2 linked regions of the Drosophila melanogaster genome follow. The protein of the gene in region 1 interacts with the protein of each later gene in a pairwise test. Each region holds a gene or a part of one and is shown on either strand. Other genes may lie near its edges.

The links.
Region 2: the proteins of Vps45 (region 1) and CG45263 interact in a two-hybrid assay, tested with the Drosophila melanogaster proteins (2 studies listed by BioGRID).

What each region holds. Positions count from the first base shown.
Region 1 is NT_033777.3:9,561,810-9,565,564, forward strand, and holds the start of Vps45 (vacuolar protein sorting 45), read left to right. Parts: upstream 1-2,114; 5' UTR 2,115-2,216; coding exon 2,217-2,309; intron 2,310-2,372; coding exon 2,373-2,571; intron 2,572-2,622; coding exon 2,623-3,755. Other genes in the region: CG9393 (uncharacterized protein), read right to left, coding at 118-192, 366-761, 1,008-1,286, 1,381-1,527, 1,627-1,713.
Region 2 is NT_033777.3:8,475,676-8,479,430, reverse strand, and holds the start of CG45263 (uncharacterized protein), read left to right. Parts: upstream 1-1,813; 5' UTR 1,814-2,012; intron 2,013-3,755.

The sequences.
Region 1 (3,755 bases):
TCGATCTCCTTCAGTGTTTAGGTAAACCTTTAAAGCTGGACAGTTTTTGTGCTTCATCCCCACATTGTATTTTAAAATATATATACTATACACATAGATATCGTTGCAGAGATGCGATTAGTCTAGGCCCTCCTCCATCTCGTCATCCTCGTAATCTATGCCATCGTAGTCCGTCGAAGAGCGTGTCGTTAGCTGCAAGGATGAATCAATCGGAATTTGCAATTAACTGAGAATTTTGCACGTGCTCAAGCTGAGGCTGTCTACAAGAGTGTCTGGAGCCAACAGAAGACATTGAACCAGAACTATCGAATAAGCTCCATCAAGTCAAGAGTAAAGAACTACAAATTTCAGCCAAAAATACCCACCTGGTTGTAAATCCCACGCCATGCCGCAAACGCTCCCATGGCCAAGACGGCTCCCACGCCGGCTACTATTTTGGTGTTCAGCTCGGAGTCTAGGAACTTGCGCTCCGAGGCCGTCAGACTGGCCTCCGTGCCACTGGGTGTCTTTGTGAGCTTGACGGAACTGTATCCCTCGATGCGGAATATGTCCTTCGTGATGCGGTTGATAAAGTTCACTAGGTTTTGGCAGCCCTTAATGTGATTCTGCAGTGGATTGTTAGGCAGTGCGATCTTAAAGATGATGGCAAGATAGCTGTAGACAATGGCATCAAACTCGCTGTAGGTGTCGCCAAAGAACCACACCTTGCGACCCAATTTCCGGGAGAGCAGGTTCACCACTTTTTTGGCATTGACAACGAGCTGTAAAGTAAAATGATTAATTGATAGTTAAAGAAACGTCTTGCTTTTCACAACATTGATAAGATATATTGATAACAAAAGACCAATACATGAGAAACTGTTTCTTATTAATATAAACTGATGAAACGTTTCCAATCGAAATGCAGCTTGGGTGTAAAACATAGGTTAGATAAACAAATTAAAAAATCCTCGGATTTAAAGATACAATAATGTAATATGAGACAATATGAAATTGAAAGCACTCACGTAGTCGCCTTCGTGCTTGTCCAACTTGTCGTTCACATCGAAACCGGCCATCACCTGAACCACGTCGCAGGCTTCCCTTTGGTAGGACGACGGGTAGTAGAAGTTGAAGGGGAATGGCGTGCGCTTGGCGTAGAGGCCCCGCGTGGTTGTGTCAAAATTGTGAGGCTCTCCAAACAGGAAGTAGTGGTAGTAGGCATGCAGATTGGTGAACACCCAGTTGGCGTAGGCGGTGGACAAATGCTTTTGTTTAGTGCTTAAATGCGCATCTATCGGGTAACCCTGAAAGAATACGTCGAATTAAGCCCATAAAAAAACACATATCTATAAATAGAGCCTGCAGTTTGTTCACCCCGGCATTGTTTTGCTCACTCACCTCGAGATCCAGCACGCGCTTAATTTGCCTATAGCCCGCGAACTTCTGGTTGCCGATCTGCAGATACGGCAGCTTCCCGGCTCCCGAACGCAGCGGATTGGAGCTGGTCTGCACGTCCATGGGGCAGCGGGTGAATCGCAGGAGGCACTGTTTCCGGCAAAGAGGCGCTTTCATCAGTTTCTTTCATCATCTGCGATAATGGGCAAAACAGGCGTGCTGGCCGCCGTGTGATGCAACGGAACTTACCAGAGCACGTAAACATTCAAAATCTATGGACGGCAGTCCGTACTCCCCCTTGTACACATACAGCATGGCTCCCAGTTGCATCTCCATTGTGTCCTAGTCTATGCTTTGCTCGTACTCTTGTATTTAGCCGGTTTTCAACAGTCCACCTGCATATCAGCCATCCGAATTTGAATCCAAAAATATATGCCAGAATTTCTGGCCGACTGCTGCGAGTGCTTCAGACTGATAACTACTGGGCACTCGATATATCGCTCGAGCATATCGGCGCTTTATCGATTGCCGGCCAGGGATGTTGCTACTCGAAGTTTATTTTGGCTAATGAAAAGATACGGAATTATGTTTGAGCTTAATTGCTATTTATGTTTATCTTTATTGCTATTTTTATTATACTACCAAAAAATTGTAAGTTTTTATCTATATGCATTTTTACATATTCACATTATTTTACATTAGCTAGATCTAGCGAATGTTACCCAAATGTTTGGTCACCGCTGTTATCACGGAGCTATCGCAATTGGGGCATCTCCAACCCATCTGTTTGCGAAAAAAAACATTAATTTCTGATTTTCGCAGTAAATTAGTTAGCAGTCATGAATCTGATAAGCGGCATTAAGTTGTACATCGAGAAAATGTGCTCCGAGTCGGGACCGGGCATGAAAATCATTCTGCTGGACAAGGAGACGGTAAGTGCAAGGACTGACAATCAAATCCCCTGCCATATGATCAAAAATTCACATCATTCGCAGACCAGTATAATTTCGATGGCCTTTAGCCAATCGGACATGCTGCAACGGGAGGTGTACCTATTTGAGCGCCTGGACTCGGGAAGATCCAACGAGCGGTTAAAGTATCTAAAATGCATCGTCTTTATACGCCCCACCAAGCAGAACATCCAGCTACTGGCCAACGAGTTGCGGAACCCCAAATACAGCGCCTACTACATTTGTAAGTGGGTCAGTAGAAGCACCTTCGGAATAGTACTAAACTCATAAATAGATTTCAGCAACATCATTCCCCGGACGGACATTAAATACTTGGCAGAGTGCGACGAATCCGAATCGGTGCGAGAAGTGAAGGAACTGTATGCAGACTACCTGTGCGTCAACCCCAATCTGTTCTCATTAGGCATTCCCAATTGCATGGCGAATCTTAATTGGCTGCCGGACGCTCTCAACCGCAGCATGCAGGGCATCACAGCCGTGCTGTTGTCCCTTAAGCTGAACCCAGTGATCCGGTACCGAGCCGGTTCTCAGGCAGCGCAGCTTCTGGCCAAGCTCATATACGAGCAAATCACAAAAGAGTCCTCGCTATTCGACTTTCGCTCCAACATGGATGGCGCTGCGCCACCGCTGCTGCTTGTGCTGGACCGCAGGGACGATCCTGTGACGCCGCTTTTGCATCAGTGGACATACCAGGCCATGGTGCATGAGTTGCTGCACATAAAAAACAATCGATTGGACCTGTCCAATTGCCCCAATGTGCCGAAAGACTTCAAGGAGCTGGTCTTATCCGGTGATCAGGATGACTTCTATGGCAACAACATGTACGCCAACTACGGCGAAATCGGATCTACCATCAAACAACTGATGGAGGAGTTCCAGCGCAAGGCGAACGACCACAAGAAAGTGGAGAGCATAGCAGACATGAAGAACTTTATTGAGTCATATCCGCAGTTTAAAAAAATGTCTGGCACTGTGCAAAAGCATTTGTGTGTGATTGGAGAACTGTCGGCGCTGAGCAACAAGAGGAATCTCTTCGAGGTTTCCGAACTTGAACAGGAGATCGCTTGCAAGGCGGAGCACTCGGCCCAGCTGCAGAGAATCAAAAAACTAATTGCCGACGAACGGGTTTCCATCGATGATGCTCTTAAGTTGGTGGCACTTTATGCATTGCGATACGAGCGACACGCCAACTGCGACACATCTGGACTGCTGCAAATAATCAAAACGCGCGGTGGACGAGCGGCTATAGTGCCATCGTTGATTGAGTATGCTGGAACCCATGTACGACAAGGAGATCTCTTCAATATGGTGCGGATAACGGACGCCGTAAAGCTGACACGGAATTTGATTAAGGGCCTTAAGGGTGTGGAAAATGTCTTCACACAGCACACTCCTCTCCTGAAGGAA
Region 2 (3,755 bases), 1.1 Mb from region 1:
ATACAAATGAGCGGCGATTTGTCATGTCACTGCGTTTAAATTTATCATTTTCCACGACAGGCGCGAGTTATCCAGCCATTTTTGTTGGCGTGCTGCTGTTGTTTTTTTTTTTGTTTTTTGCCCGCTTCTGTTGTTTCCTACATGCCTTTTCGTATCGCAGCTTTATTTTTATGTGTTTTTCTGTTGTTGCTGTTGTTGTTATTGTTTTCTTCCTTCCACAACATTCTCTTGTTTGTTTTTCCTGTTTCCGGCAGGCGTGCGCTGCTCCCTGCCCCATATGGACCGCCCAAATCCACCCACCAGCCACATCCCATCGCTCGGACTTTCACCCACATTGGACGCAGCGGCGCCAAGATCGCTTCCATTGCACATTTTGGCATTCGACTCGCTTTTCGCCCCTCCTTCCTTTTTGCATCAGTCTCTCTCTTTGTTTCGCTCTTTTCAGTACCCTCACAAAGGATAATTGAGTTTTCTCCATTCATATATGTACATACCTGCCCATGAGGAAAGAATATATGCAGAAGATATATTAAGCTGCAGCGATTGATAGTTGAACATTTATTATAAAAAGTTTAATTATTTATCTGTTCTTAAATAATCATAATTCTCTACTGATGAAAGAGCAAATGCTACCCTTTTCTAGGGCTATAATATTTTGGATAGCGTATTGGGAATGCGGTTATGCCGCTTATTTTCCGACCGTTCCACTCGCTTTCCATCTGTGTGTGCCTGAGTTAGGCGCCTGACTCCTCCATTGTTACCACTGCTGCTGCTGCTGCTGCTGAGTGAATTTTATGTGGCATATGCCGAGGCGCAACATTTTTGTTAATGGCTTGTAAAATTTTTTCGCATACACAAATCCCTTTTTGGCTCTTTCCTTTGCCCACTAACTTTTTGCCGGAAACTCCAAACCGCTGCGTCTCCTTTTGGTCCTCGCTTTGCTTGGCTGGGCGTTGACATGACGCCGCACATAGCAGAGTTATAAGCCACCCTTGCCCATTCTCCCCCTATTCGATTTTCCCATTCCCCGCCCCAGTTGAGAGACCCATAATTGTTTGTTAGTTTTTGCTGGTTTCGTGCAGCTGTTGTGGCATTTGCCAAAAGCATAATTCGATTAGCTTTTATCGCAGCGTGTTCAACTGCAATCATTGCGGAAAAATGCCAATTAGAAAAGTTACAGCTCCCCGCTGAACGCGTCCACCCACAATGACCATCTCCCCTGAACCGATTTTGTCCTACTTTTTGCCGTGTCAGAGCTTCCTAGTGTATCTGTCAAAAATATTTTTATTTCGGCTGAATGTCCAATTTGAATTAAGCAATATATTACGCAGCTTCTGTTGATACGTTTTTTTTTTGAATAGGACTTAGATATATACATTTAATTTTAATAAAATCAGCTTGAGTTTGTAATATGTAAATTTTAAATGATTTTTATATGCAATACTCATTGGTAACATTTCACAATTAACGGCATAATATAACTACAACCATAAATACAGTTAAATAGAAAGAGTATCTGGTAGTTGGAAACAAAAAGCACTTGTTGCCAAGCCCGAAAAGTGCAACATGTTGATGGAGGACAGCAACACGCTCAAACCGCTTAGGCCAAGGAAAAAACGTAAACACAACATGTTTGTTGCACACTCAGTTGGCCAACAGGTTTGAGCGCGCTGGCGTAGGTCGTTCGTATGCGTTCGGCTCACAGTCACGAAGCGCCGCTTAACAGTGCTCAGCTCTGTTAGCGAACGTCGAGGCGTAACATTTCGTGTCTTTGAAATGCATATCATCGAAGTCACCAGTTTCAGTTCCAAGTTTCAGTAGATTTCGGGACATCGTGCGGATCGAACGTCTGGCGCTGCGTTCACGCGACTCGTACGCTGCAAGGAATCAGTTACCAGTGACCAGTAAACAGTGATCGGTGAATGTGAATAGTGACTAGTGAATGAGACAGTGAACGAGTAACAGCCCGAAAATTGTTGCATTTACGAGAAATCGCATGGATATTGAAAAAGGTATAGCCAAAGGATGTATGGTAAACAAAAAAAAAAAAAAAACGCGTGCGTTGTTTTTTAGATACACGTGACAGTGGAATTTGTATCTAGATTGTTTTGTTGGTTTTGCTTTTAGCAAGTGTACCCACCGTGTGCTAAATGCATACGTATGTATGAGTGTGCGTGTGTGTGTTTGTGTGTGGAGGTGCCGGGATATACTTTGACACACTTTCGCATCGTGCCCAACTCCCGGCCATCGGTTATGGCGTGTCCTCGAAAACGGGGAAAAAAGTTACAACTAGCAGTAAACGTGAAAAAGGACCAGCAAGGACGAGAAAATCTCGGCGAGGCGAAAGCGCTGTGTTTTCATTGTCGTCGTCGTTCGCCTTTGGCTCATCAATAAAAATTTCCTTGACATTTTATGAGCCAAAGGATTCTGAGCTCACTTTACTTACTCCATTCGCCATTCAGCCATTCGCCGGGATGGCCAATATATTAAATACGACAACGGATTAAACGCTCGGTTGCCCTTTTTATGTCCGCTTATATTTATGGACAATTATTTAAAAGAAAAAAAAATTGCCATTCGCCGAAAGTTTGCACACATTTATGGTCTGTGAATGCTTTATATAATCGCCATGGTGATCGAATCCCACAAAGAAGTTCTACTTCATCGGCAGGGAATGAGGGGGGAAAATTTAATTAAGCCTCTTCGCGATTGTTTATAAATTCATGTTAATGATATTTGGACAGCCCCCCTTTTTCGGATGCCGAAAAGTATCTGCAATTACGTCGAATCGTTGGGCGCGAATTCCGCCTGCCAAAGTTGTGAGAATTTTCCGCTAATTGTTTTCCGTCGAGAAGGCGATTCGCAATCGTCGCCAGCTGCGCGGCAAAAAGGACTCTCGCTCGGCAGAGTTTTTCCCCCTCGGTTTTGATATGCAAATGGCCTTAAATTCCACACTCACAATTGAAATGAAATTGCCTCAAAGTTTCTGTCTTCACCGAAAATACAGGCGGCACGTGCAGCCGGAGTCGTTTAATTTTAAAAGCCAAACATTTTTATTAATGGTTATTGCCGTGAGTGGCAAGAGTGTGCTCCGCTTGGTGTTATAATCGAAGATTGTTTTGCCATTAGGAAAAGCGTCTTGGAAAACTTAAAGACTTCTCGAAAAATGTGATTCCCGCCAGTGGCTCTTGCAGAGATTGAATCATCGTGACGCCCGGCGCTTCAAAGCGACATTCATTTAAATATTTTGATAAACTTTGACGACATTTCGCGCAATTTCAACGCAATGTGTGCGATCCATCCTTATTCGAGGACCCCCCATCTCCTCCTATTCCGCTGGGATGTGCGAGTTTTTCCTGGCATTTATATCAATTTCTTTATTCCTCACGGCTTTCGACTGCCGCCTGCATTTCGGCAAACGAAAAATCCTCAAACATTTTTTTTTTGGTCGGCAGAAGGAGCGTTTCTAGGAAATTTATGTCGCCTTTTATGGCTACGTGGCTCGTAAATAAGAAAAATGTTGCAGTGCCGCCCGAATATCGGGTGTTTTATCTTTTGCACATGTGGCGGCAAGTTAGAGAGAGTTAGAGAAAGGCTTTCTCCTTATCCACCGGCCGTATTTTAGTTACCCCCTTGAGCTGACATCCAATCAGCATTGTGGCAGGGAAATAGCAGAACGAAAATTATTTCATATTTCGCACGACATTCGACACAAATAACAAATAACTGCCTGAAATGGCACATTTAATATTTGA